Astyanax mexicanus: one gene and its partner. The protein of the gene in region 2 purifies or fractionates together with the protein of the main gene of each other region. This does not show direct contact. Links are inferred from orthologs where the notes say so. Each region holds a gene or a part of one and is shown on either strand. Other genes may lie near its edges.

Region 1 (6,874 bases), on a different chromosome or scaffold from region 2:
TCAGCCTGTCTTGAAGTATTTCCCCTGTTGATTCAGCTGCATACCAAGCATTATTTCTTTGTTTATTTCTGTGTATGACCTATTTTTTTGTCTGGCCCCTTTAGCTAGTTTACCTTGGTATTTTTGCTCTGTTTTTGACCCTTATTTTTCATCTGTCATTTATCCCTCTTTTTTGGTTCTGTTTTTACCTTAGGCTGTAATCAGGCTGCATTTCTTTGGTTCTGCCCTGTATATTAAAGTCAGACTTTTTTAACTGCAAATGTCTCACTCCAGTCTGTGGTGTTACAATATTAATACATGTTAATAGTTAATGTGAATGTTTCTGAATTCAGTTAATTAGAACAATCAACAATACAATATATTATAATATAATATACAATAACATGTTTTAATATATGCTTAATACACATTGAGCTTGGCTTGAGTGTTAGAATTAGAATAAAACATTCCAACCTTATATCTAAAACACAGCTACAGCTAAACATACAAGTCTTAATGCAATAATACGGTTCAAAAAGCTATGATGTAATATAAAGGATGCACATTGCAAACTGCAAAAACAGCTCTTTTGTATACATTGCAGCACACTACAAGGCAGGTGATCAACCAATCAGAGCAAAGTTATTTACACATAAGCACAGCAAGGTTTATTTAATTTCTTTTTTTCATTTTAATTAACTTCTTAATTTAGCTAACCAATTTAACCCACCCACACATTGGGACTCTCTCTATCACTTGAACTATTGCCAATGAGTCAGTATGCTCGGAAAAAAAGCTCCCAATTCCAGGAGACCAGCTCTGATACATCAGAGAACAGATGCCTGTGATGGCCAGTATGACTGTAAGAGTGATAAGGAAGAAAATGCCAACGTTGATAGCCCAGAATGACCTGGGATTCACACTCGTGATCCTTCAGGTCATAGTGACTTATTTGGCTGAGTCACTCAAGCTGGTTTGCTTCTAACAATAAACTTACAGTCCACTTGCACTTTTCTCAATGCATTTCACCACGCCAGATCTCTTGGGTCACCACATGTGGATGTGTCTGTATTTTTTTTTTTTTTTCATGAAAATGAAGCAAACCTAGAAGTAGGCAAACTTTATTTGTAAATTAATCATATTTTTATTCTGGAAATCCAGATGCTGATGATGTAAGCTGTTTCGTTATGTTTGAAAGACATTTGTTCTGTGCATGATGCTATGATATAATATGGTATGATGCACCAACCTACTCTTTCTTGATTATACACAATGCGACCAAATTCATTCCCAGGCTGCCCTTACTCAATATGACTTGTCATCCACTGTGCACATATGGAGGCTGTCCTCATTAGAATAAATATAATACAGTGAAGAGGCAAGTGAAAATTTTATGTTTTAGCATAGGGGTTCTCAATTGGTCTCAGCCTGGGACCAATTTTCTCATGGTCATTAAGTTGCAACCCACTTTTATAGAACACACTCCAAAATTGTTTTTAAATAGCCTCAAAAAAACAATTTAAACATACATATGCTCGCAAAATGAATTTAAGAGCATTTTTTTCTAATAAACTGAGGAGGAACATGACAACTACATAGGTTAAAAAAATAAAAACTGCACAAAATAAAAAAAGGCCACACTGAAGTGTTTGTTTTTTTTGTGCACCAGGAGTGGCATAAATATATCCAAAAGCAGTGTGTAAGACTGGTGGAGGAGAGCAGCCAGAATGCATTAACACTGTGATTAAAAACCAGGGTTATTCCACCAAATATTGATATCTGAACTCTTTATGACTCTTTATATCTGAACTTTATGAACATGAACCTGTTTTCTTTGCATTATTTGCGGTCTGATAGCTCTGCTTTTTTTTTGTTATTGCAGACATTTCCCCTTTTCTGCAAATAAATCCTCTAAATGACCATATTTTTATTTGGAATTTCGGAGAAACGTTGTTTGTAGTTTATAGAATAAAACAACAATGTTAATTTTACTCAAACATATATATATATATATATATATATATATATATATATATATATATATATATATATATATATATATATATATAAATAGCAAAATCAGAGAAACTGATTCAGAAACTGAAGTGGTCTCATTTTTTCCCAGAGCTGTGGGTGAGAAAAAAGATCCTACAAAATATTACATACGGTCTTGTTGTCTATTTGTCCTGTCTTGATATGGGCCTTTAATTGGGCCAATTCACAATCTGTAAAAACACTGACCTGTCCAAACAAAAATGATCTGATCAGAACTCATCAGCTTATTGCTAAGGCCTTCCTGGATCAAGTGGATCGGGTGTATCAGTTCCTAAAATTAAGCAGGGCCTCCATGCAAGGGTCTCCTGCACAGACATCAGGAACCCCTGATTTAAGCCATGCAAACCATCTGAATCATAGACTGTATATAAAGATGGACGTCGTGTCGCCGTTCCCATTCATTCAATGAAAATGAAGCCAAAATCTTCCGCCATTTTGGCGATTCAGAGACCAGAGTCTGCACAGTAGAGACCAGAGGAGGGAGAAAGGCTGTGGAGAGACCGCCTACTCATTTAAATAACCCCGCCCCTGAGGGCTGCCTCGCGGTCACAGACTGCAGAGCGGGGCGGAGCGGAGCTGACGGTCTGTTATTGGTCCCGCCCATAAGCAGCCCTTTTACCATAACCACACCTTTTTTGAATAGAGCCGAATAAAGTTTTAAAAACTGAATTCTGTGGGGATATAAAAATTTGACAATATAAGCAGAGGTTACACTAGCTGTTGCATTTAAATAATGGAGGTAGAATTACAGTATATTAGAAAAAAACGTGATTGAAAGTTGTCTGTTTTGCCATTGAAACCTATGGGGATGGGTGGAGTTACACAGCTTTCTGCAGCCGAACAGCAGGGGGCGCCCGACCTGTGGTGGCTTCACTTTTAAGAGACGATGCTCTGTCCAGCTATATACAGTCTATGATCTGAACCATGTTAAGCGCTTGGCCTACAAAAGGCACCTCACCACTCCCCAGCTTTTCCTCTCAGAGCAGAGATGAGTCACATGAACAAACAGGCATCGCTTAAACATTCCTCTAACGTCCACCATTGCTGCAGTTTCCTTTAAAACAGATGCACTGTACACAGGCAGGAAAGCGCTGGAAATCACGGAAAACGCCTTAAAGAATTTGAAAGCTGTGCCGCATCTGAATGAATGATGAATTAACGAAGAGAAAAACAACAGCAGAGCAGCAGTGCGTTTCGAAATAAACTAGGTTAATCATTGCCCCAGTGCCACACACGTGTTTCCACGAGGAACACATTCAGTGAAAGCTGTGTGTTATGAAGGCAGGCTTCAGTGTTGTTAATGTTGTTCTCCTGTGAGATACATGATATGGGATATGTGCAGGAGCAGCAGCAGCGTGTCAGATAAATCCTGTACATCCTGCAGCAGTTCATAATTATTACTATCTGAGAGTGGCAGCAGAACCAAATGATGAAAATGATAAAAAAAAAAAAAAAATCTAACTGAAAGTGGAGTTTTGTCATTCACCGCGACTCTGCTTGGCTACGTGTGGCTGATTGCTCAATCAAGCTGAGCTCATTATGTGACATGGGAAAAGCGAGCTGAATGGCGTTAGGTGGTTTATTTTTATATTCCACCCGTTTTCAGCAAACCCCGCCTCTTGTGCATTCTTATTGGCTGGCAGCATCCAGCCTCCTGCTCTGTACCTTATTGAAAAGCGCTAGTAATTAGTACTACAAGTGCGTGTAGGTGCGTGTGAACTACTACCGGCCAATCCCAGTGCGAGAGGCGGACGCTGCTAGCCAATCCGCTTGCGTGGAGGGCGGGGTGTACCGCAAAACGGGTGCGTTCGAAAAATAATAACGCCGCTCTAAGCGGGCGGAGTTCCAGCTGTCGTCGTGTGCGAGAGCTTCAACATCACACGGGCTTTTTAACGGAGCGGCTGCGGAGACCGGGGGTTTCTGGAGGTCGTCTCTGTTTGTGTTTTGTTTCCTGGGATCAGCTGTCCGTCCACACACTCCAGACTCGGCCTGAGTGATGGACTGAACCCGCTGAAGCGGCTAAAAACAGCTTTGTTTTGCGACTCGACTCCACTTTTTTTTGTCTTTCAGCGAGAAAAGTTAGTTTAGCTAGTTAACCTCTCTATTCTGCAGGAATATATGACTGTCTGAAGTCGTGAATGTGACACCACGGAATACCCCCCTTTTCCAAGGACTGACACCCACCCCCTTTTACCCCTCTTTCACCCGCTCTTTTACCCCCTCGGCTCCACCATGGTCGTGCACGGCTGCAGCGGCACCACCACCACCAGCAGCCCGGCGCCCACCTGCGCCCGGCCGGGCAGACGCGCTCACAAGCGCCTGGACAGCGACGAGCCAGTGGCTAAGTGCCCCAGGCTGAAGCTGAACGAGGCGGCTGCGGGCGACCCCGCTGCCCTCGTGCCCTCTCCGGGATGTCCTCCGAGCGGAGCCTCCCCGGGGTCACCCCCGGTCCCCCAGGGTCCGTCTCGAATCGGCCGCTTCCTGCTGCTGCCCCTGGCCGAGCGGGCAGGGCTCCACAGCGCGCTGGATACAGTGACCGGAGAGGAGCTGCTGTGCAAGGTGAGCTCAGCTATTTAACTAGTGTTTTGACTGACTCCTGGTCAGCACTGAGCGGATCAAACATCAGCATTATGATAATGAAGTGTAGTAATGCATTTATGCTATGCATTAAAATGACTCTGGTGTATCTGGTGAATAAGGTATGCACTCTATATATATGCTATCTATAAGGTGCAACGTTATATATATAGGCGTATATACTGTATACACTCATTCATTTCAATCATATGATGAATCATATATCATATATACATTGAATCATCTATACACTGTGCAAACAGTTCTAGCTATACACTGCAGGGCTGTATGAGTGGGAAGAACCTTGCAATAAATATCATGATACATGACGATAGTGTTATATGTTGCAATGCTGCAAACAAACCAGAATACCACAATTTTTAAACAATAGAAAGAAATTTCATGGAAATTCTCACAGTATAAATACACACCACAATATACATATTCTGAGGAAGAGTAAAGTTTGTTTTATGCAGTCTGAATATTGATACTATGTTGTTGAGATCAGTTTGATCAGTTGAATCAATCTGGGAAAAAAATTGGAGACCATTTCAGTTTTTGAATCAGTTTCTCTGATTTTGCTATTTATAGGTATATGTTTGAGTAAAATTAATTTTTTTTTAATTCTGTACACTACGGTCAACATTTCTCTCAAATTCCAAATATAAATTTTGTCATTTAGAGCATTTTTTTTTTTCAGAAAATGAGAAATGGCTGAAATAACAAAAAAGATGCAAAGCTTTCAGACCTCAAATAATGCAAAATGCAAAAATGTAAGCAGTTAAACTTGGTTTAATCTTAATTTAATTTCAAAGGTTTAATTTGGTAAAATCAATTTAAATGGTAAAATAATTTGTAAGTGGTCTCTTATTTTTTTCAAGAGCTGTAAATATATTGTTTCTTACACTCCTTATAAAAAGGTTGATTACATGGAGCAAGGCCTGATTGCACACATCACTGTTTGAGGTGTGCACTGTGCAATCAGTGATTCACACTGTAGGTAGGATTGGGCAATATTGCAAAATTATTATATCCTAATACTCAAAGAGATATTGTATCTGTCCAAACGATCCCAAACAAAAATCTCTTCCAATAGAAATCAATGTAAATCGATTTGATTGAAGTCAGTTCATTCGTCATTTATACATCAGGCACTCATGCTAGATTTAAGCTATCCCACAATGTGAAAAACTGTGTATGGCAATAATTATATGCATAATTTTGATACATAATCATCATGCACTGGTGGTGCCAGATTTAAAAACCATCAAAAGCTCCGGTACAACAGATGCAATTGGCTTTCAATTAATCAGGACTAATTATGCCATCAGTAATTAATTACACACACAAATTGAGTTGTTCACTATGCACTGTCAGTAGCCATGGAATGCTCAGAAACCATATTGTCACAATAACAACATTTTACCATCATATTATCCACCTCTGCTTCAAACCAAAGCATTTTGTGGAACCAACTGCTCAGATTCTTCTTAGCTCAGCAGTATTGCTTTGCCAACAATTATTAATTCGCTTCATGGCACAGTTCCGTTTTTTTATTCGTTTTTTTTTAGGTAGGGATCTTCACATATGGTTTAGCACATAAAGGATATAGGCTAGAGCAAATTCAATGTGTGTAAAATGGCCTTTCACTCAGAACATTTCACTCAGAGCATTTCACACACAGTCATTTCACCTGCCTGCTACTCCATGCAGTTCAAACTCTCCAACCCTTAGCTTTAAGCATAGCAAAGACTGGCATGCTTCCTCTAATCTTAGTGATATTGCTTTGCCAAGCATTAAACGCAGGCATCACTGCATAACAAGGTCTATTTTAGACCTAGAAGCCACACATGCAACCCATATAGGCTGCAGCAGATCCAAGCGATGTGTAATTACCACTAAATGTGAGACTTCACACCCTCCATTGTGTTGATAGGAGTTATTTGCATGCGTCAGCCACAGAGAGCTGAAAAAGAAGAAAATATTTCAGGCAAACCAAGGCTGGCGTCGTGCACAAACAGAAATAGACATTGTGCCTTACACTATAAATGGAGAAGTGGGGTCAGGCTGATTAAACAGCCAGCAGTCATTGATCCCTACTTGCTGATGAGCACTGTGGTGCAGGCAGGCAGATGAGGCTAAGCCTGGCCTTCAACAGTAAGCTGTCTCCATCTGACAGGGCGAGGGTTAGTCTCTCATTCTGTTCACATTAGATGAGTTTTTTTGAGCATGATCTGTGCTGATTAAGAGTCTATATTACGTT
Region 2 (6,960 bases):
TCATTTGGCTGCAGCCGTACATAAATTCTCACTTTCGACAGGGATTCTTTTTCTCCTCCAGCTCCAGACTGCCGACAATGTGACAGACATGATGACAGACATGATCACATGGTCATTACCCTTTGAGATATTAACAGATTTTTGCGTGACAGCTTTGCCCAGTGACACCATGCCCATGCTTTATCTAGCAAGATTTCAGCCACTATTGTTGTCCGCTCCTAAATGAAACCATGTGTTTACATCAAGCACAAAAAGAAATGAAGGGGAATTATAGAAGGCAGGCTGCATGTTGCACAAGCATTCAAAACCAGGATATATAAATCAGAGTCCAATCTGAGGACACTTCATGTGAAGAGTTAACCAACCACTGTATGATGTTTACCTCCGTTAAAAGAATGACATGCAGAAAAACAAACTTGTACAAATAATTAACAAGTAGTGCGGCCACTTCTGAAGCCTGCTGCTCCAACTGTTGATTTTTTTTTGTGTCAGACTACTATAGATATAAAATCTGTCCCTCTCTTGTGGGGATACAAATCCATTACATGTTTGCCATTTTAGCCTTATAGCCTCAGTGCAAATGTATTCAAGCAATGTTTGCAGTAAGAGACAGTATTGTAAGAATGAAATAAACAGTATAAATACAAAAACAAAAAAGGTACAACAATTGTCTTCTCAAGACTTCAGACAATGGATGGTATGGTTGCTTATTTAGTCTGTAGAGGGTGAAAGGCTGTGCAGATTGCATAACAATCAGGTACAACTAACTAGCTTTATTAAAGACATTTCACGGTCATTTCTATTATGCTTGTATGCTTGCATGAGTGTTTAATCGTGTGCTACACTGTGTAGCAAGTTGGCTGTTGTGGTGTTATGATGTAATTCATCTGAGTGTAATGCGCTTTGGCTCATTAATGGCCGTGTCACTACCGAGGCAGCTAAATTTAGAGTCAGGCACACGTTTTCACAGCGTGTGGCAATCAATGCTAGTTAACACTTGCATGTAAAGCAGTTTTCTTACCAAACACTAACAGAGTTAGTTAAATTCCAACTAGGCCAACAGGGACAAGTGTAGCTAGACTAGTTAACCAGCTAACTAACTATCTGGCTAACGTTTAAAGCTACCGGTCTTCTGCAGGCAAGCGTCAGCTTGCAGGTCGCTGGTCATTATGTTGTCAGGTTAAAGTTAACCACAAGTTTAGCTAACGCTAACTCAGTTTCCACTAGTAGCATGTTTAAGATATCAGCTCCCTCCACAGCAATTATATTTACTCGCAAAAAAAACAGATCTATTAACTTAACTTACATATAACGTTAATGTTGTTTTGACTGGTCCTATGTTGCTATTGATTTATAAAGAAATTCAGACCCTCTAATCCGTAGATAATTAAGCTACATTTCAAAAGTACAAAACATTAATAACAGTTTTTCACAACAAAAAATGTAGTTGCAAATATTTAGACAAGGAACTAACCTAGCTAGCTAGCTAGATTTTACAGTAAGGATATGGTGACCAGGTAGCTTAGATTGTTTAGTCAGAATGACTTTAAACGATCTGTAGTTGGATCTGGTATTATTCCTAGCAAAAAAATGTCGCTCACCCTACAGCGATACATACTTTTAAAACTGCATTAGAGACCCGCACGTTATTGCAATATTTAGCTAACGTAACTGGTTAAACTGAGACAGGACTTGGTTTGCTCGCATCATTAAGGATCAAATGATGCTAACGCTAGCTTGCTGCTACAGTGTTAAGTGTTAACGGTAAATAGCTAGCTAGAGTTGTAGATAGGTTAGCTTAGCTAGCTAACACATCAGTCACAGGAGGAATGAGATCTCTGCTCCGCGCTGGGTGTTTGTATACAGATCATAGTATAGCTAACTTACAATCCAGCTTGAATAAACAGGCCAGTGTTTACTAGTTAGCTAACGTTAGCTCTGCAGCTAACGTTAGGTTAGTTTAACACTGGACGTAAAATGTCAGTTTTACGTTAGTGAAGTAGCTTAGCTAGCGTTTACTGCCGCTCCGCCTCTAGAACAAACTAGACCGGTGTTGTGTCGAATTGTGCTACCTTCTTCAACTGTGCTACCCTGGTAGTATTTAATTTATATAAAACGGTAAAAGTACCAAGAAAAAGCACCTTATTGGAAAATACTAGGTAGGATATGTGAATAGGCTAAATCACTGTCAAGTACCTTAAAGTAAAAAAATAAAAAAAATAAAATAAAATCACATACTTGATTAGAAACCGTATTTTTTATAGTTATAGTTTTTTGTAGTTAATTATTATTTTTAACTGCTTTACATTGTTTTAACATCTGAGCAGGTTGTTTAATGCTCTCAATAAAAACTCACGGAATGATCATGAAAAACAAACAGTACAAAAAAAGGTTGGTTAGCGCATGAGCAGTGCTGTAAAGAAGTACATATGAATGAGTAGCATAACTCGACAGAACACCGGGTTGTTTTGAGCACTGAGCTACTAGGCTAGCTAAGGTAGCTAGAATAACTAAGGGGTTAGCTGCCTCGTTTGCAGCCGACACTTTATTCTGTCTTTTTTTCCAGCTGAACTTGTAAGGGTCGAGCTCCTCTCGGTTTTCAACATTATAACTTACTACAATAATTAAGTTTTTCCTGCAGAGTGAAACATGCGGCAAAAGCTATGAAGGCAGTAAGCCGGTTTCTGCAGCTCCAGTTCAGCTGGGTTATGGCTTGGTTTGGTTTGCTCAGCTCGCCGCCTCTCGACGGACTGACGGGCCATTTAACAACTCACTCACTCACCTCGAGATCAAATCGCCGGGGGGGAGGGATCCTCTGCCGTCTACTAAACCGCAGCCGCCATCTCAGCTCAGGACTCAGGAGAGGCGCAGGAACAGTCGGCTCGCTGCCGCGCAGCGCTGTGTGGGAGAAAGGACGGTTTTATTCCGCTGTTAGAGAAGCGAAGCGTCGCCGCGCTGAAAAGCCTCGTCCCGTCGGACTGATCACATCTTTCCATAGCAGCACCACCTGACAACGGAAATGACGCACGAACAGTAAGGGGCAGCCCGACTAACCCAATCAGAGGCGAGTACCCTCCTCTCCCGACCGGCTCAGCCAATAAGTCTAACTCGTTTTCGGGCCTTTTGTCTTTAACTGGAAATAAGACAACAGAATAATGAATACACTGAGTGATTTATGATTTGATTATTGCTCAGTTTTTCTTTACCAATATCGATGATTTATTAATATATGTATACAGCACTGAGCCATATCATAGGTGTCTTCTGAAAAAGGGAATACAAGTTAGAATGAGTTTAAGAAGTTAATATTATTTAATCACTAAGTGATGTCTATATGTATGTCCATATGTGGACACTTCTTCTAATAAATGATGCATCCAGCTACTGTAAGCAAAGTTTTACCCTTTGCTGACACAGATGGGCAAATACACACACACACACACATGCACACAGCTTGTCCAGCCCTTGTAGAGAAGATGTTTACTGCTAAACATGTAAAGATGGACATGAACCTATTGGCACCATGTATAATGGTATGGGCTAGCTGTGGAGCTGTGGTGTGTTATCTGGAATGGTGGTGCTCCATCAGTTAAAGATAAGTTGAGGTGGTGACCTTCTAACATCCTGACAGTAACATGCTTGTTGCTGAATGTAATCAAATCATTATAGCAAATAATCATCAAATACAAAAGCAAGTAGAAAGTCTTTCCTGGACTGCAGACAACAGAATAATACCCTTTTAATACTATTGAATTTAAAAGAAACAATGAATAGACATTTGTCCCAATAAGTCTGTCCATATAGTTTAATTTAAACTTCTCAAATGTCTGTACTAGTGCATTGTACACCATAAATCAATAAATAATTCTTACATTGTTTTGCTGCCTTCATCTGGAATAATGTGTTTTTATAAATGCAATGATACAAAATTATGACAGGTACCACACATGCAAAAAAATCAGGTTACACAAGCATTAGAGAAAGCTATTCAGTGCTTTCTCTAATTAATCAAATATTGCTACTACTACATTTATTCTATGTGCAAGACCCTTCAGATAGTTCAACAGTTCCTCAACTGAACCCCACCCATGCTGCTTGTTCTAATTCAGAGCACTGGACTAGTAAGCAGTAGCTTGTCAAATACATGTCGTTCTTTTAAAGGGTCATAACTCTTTTTGATTGCTTTGACTCAGCACAGCATTTGCTTTTAGCCACATGAAACATTTTTATCAGCCTGTGGCTTAGGTTTGGCCAACCCACAGTTTTCAGGGTGGAAACTGACTGAATCATACTGTGAGAGTGGGCGACCCATGGGTAATGTAAGGAGAGACAGAAAAGTATAAAAAGAATGCATAACAGGAAAAGGGTACAGTGTTGCATACATCCTTTACATACATTTACTTCATTATTTGACCCTTTCAGACAAAAACATATTTCAATCATTTCCCACAAACTATTTAAGTTAAGTGCATTTATGCATGAAGAAATATGTATATATAAAGCACAACAGAGCACTAAAAGAGCTCATGGTGACATGCATATGTCACAGACCTTTACAAAAAGCTGTGAAAGTTCATTACAGCAGTCTGTCCTTGATTTTATAAACTTATGAAGACCTAAGTGACATATACTGAACATCCTGTGTGCATTAGGACAGTGTGTCACTGTGCTTATCTGACCTTATTTACAGAATGTAGGTGTGCTAGGTTAGTGCTGGAGATTAGATTTCACGTAATATTTTTTGCTTCTTTAGGTCTGTTCCAACCCATTTTACAATACAAATGTTTTAAATGTTTTACATGCAAACTAGTTGTGACACAAACTCTAGAACAGAATGTCAAACAAATACACGTTATGAAATTGTATAATTTCTGTTACATTAGTGTTTAAAGATTAAAATATTTAGAGTCATGTTCTCTCTTTATACAAAAAGAAAACACATGAGTGAGCTTCTCAGTTAATTTACCAATGATCCAATTTTGAACTGGATAAGGACCCTAATGGGTTAAGAAAAAAAAAACTGATTTCTCCCAAAGGGAGTTTTTATGTGAAAAATGATTAAAAAAGTCATTTTAATTAAATAATAAATTGTATCAGAATTCAAATGATCAGTGTTTAAAATGATGCAGCACAGAAACAGTGCTGTACAGCAGTGTAAAGAGAAGCACTGTGGGCTGAGGTAAGTGTGTCTAGTCCTACCACCTATTGCCTCAGCATGTTTTGACAGCTCTTTTTTCACATGGCTATTATGAGAGTGCGTGACTGGAAGCCGTGATGTGGGGGTCTAAAACGTGCCTGGACTGTTCTCATTTTTCTCTGACGCCACAGCATAGTTACTGTCACCATGGTGATTCGAATTGTTACTCTGTCCTCCATTGAAAGTGTTCGCAGATAAACTGAAAGGCAATACTGGACAACTGAGGCTAACAGAAACAAAGAAATGCAGAAGGCAGCATCATCACTTCATTGCACATGTCATGGCGAGGACTCATCAATAATGCTGTTACACAGACCCACAAAAAACACACACAAACATACTGTTTATTCACGTGTGTGCATACAGAGTCCTGTGAGTAAATGAGAGACAGTGGGCAGTAGCACATGATGAATAGCCTGAGTGGTCAGTTTTAACTGCAACTGAAGGATTCTAAACTGTCTGCAACACCATATACTCCATTATAAGGTGACAGAATGATCATAAAGGAATGCATTAGGTAGTCGTATAGTTTTTGGATCATCTTGCCAGTTGGGTCAAAATTGATTAGAAGAGTTGCAAACCTTTTAATGTAAACCCTTGTTAATGTCACGTTTACACTCTACGTTCAATTAAAGATGCTGCATAAAATATTAATCCAGTAAACCTTAATTGTAAAATTAAGCAAATGTTACCATGCAGATAGCTAGCTCCCCAGTCTGTTAACTCGCTGGAAAAGAACTGTGTTCATACACAACTCTAGGATACAAACATAATGGCTCAGACTGAGCTACACAACACTAATCAGATGAAGATATATATAGAGACCTCAATGTGTAGAAAGGCATGACAAGGAATGCGGAACTTGCTCTATTCTCTCTTGATACTTACTTATGTTTGCTATTCCAAAGAAATAGTTTTGTTTTGTTCAGTTTGCAAATGTTGGTGATAAATTATAACAACTAACAGCAGCAACTGTAACAACAGCTAACTAATCCACAACATGCAAGAATTTAAAAATGTAGAGCTTCTGAAGGAGCACTGAGAGGGTGTGTTTGTCATGCTAATGAGTTTAAATATCAACAAGTTGTTCTCCAGAATCATAAACAGCACATTTAAAATAAAATACACTGAAATAGGCAGGGAAGTGTGCCTCCATGACAAGGATTGTGAAACACTGCATTGCATAACCTTATCTTTATAAAGCATATTAAGAATATAATGCTCAATTTGATGTTCCATCAAAAAGTCTTAATAACCTGTCATATTATACTCTAGTTCAGAACAGACGATGCAATCTGCTTCTGCAACAGTGCACACGAATCATTGGCTAACCACTCAGGCTAGTCATCATGTCCTACTGCCCACTGTCTCTCATTCACCCACGCTGCTCAGACAGTTGGTCTTTTGATGGCTTTTCTAATAAGCAATTCTAAAAAACCCTTTATTCATCTGTAAAGTCGTGGGAGAGGTATCCTTCTCCTACACATAAATGAATGAATTGCACTTACATTCATTCCCTTGTGGGAAAGCATGCTCACTTGCCACTCATTTTTTGCACATGGCACATTATTGTTTATATTTTAAAATGTTAAATTCATTAAGAGTAATTATTTTTTTTAGAATAAGGAGATGTATCTTTGTAGATAGAACATACTTACACTCAGAAAATAAAATATTTTAACCAACAATGCCATTGGGTTAAACAAAATCAGTGGTATTAAAAGATTGCTTTAAGGATTTTATATCATTATATGATCATCACC

What was found. Proteins that work in one complex are often made in the same cells at the same time.
Region 1: the proteins of stk40 (region 2) and trib1 purify together in Homo sapiens (affinity purification with mass spectrometry; 3 studies listed by BioGRID and IntAct, counting the BioPlex papers as one, with this or other methods). This does not show direct contact. The link is inferred for Astyanax mexicanus from reciprocal best matches to the Homo sapiens genes STK40 and TRIB1.

The regions. Positions count from the first base shown.
Region 1 is NC_064410.1:43,228,740-43,235,613, forward strand, and holds the start of trib1 (tribbles homolog 1), read left to right. Parts: upstream 1-3,865; 5' UTR 3,866-4,266; coding exon 4,267-4,593; intron 4,594-6,874. UniProt on the Homo sapiens protein: Adapter protein involved in protein degradation by interacting with COP1 ubiquitin ligase. The COP1-binding motif is masked by autoinhibitory interactions with the protein kinase domain.
Region 2 is NC_064413.1:33,630,278-33,637,237, forward strand, and holds the start of stk40 (serine/threonine-protein kinase 40), read right to left. Parts: upstream 3,012-6,960; 5' UTR 2,783-3,011; intron 1-2,782. UniProt on the Homo sapiens protein: May be a negative regulator of NF-kappa-B and p53-mediated gene transcription.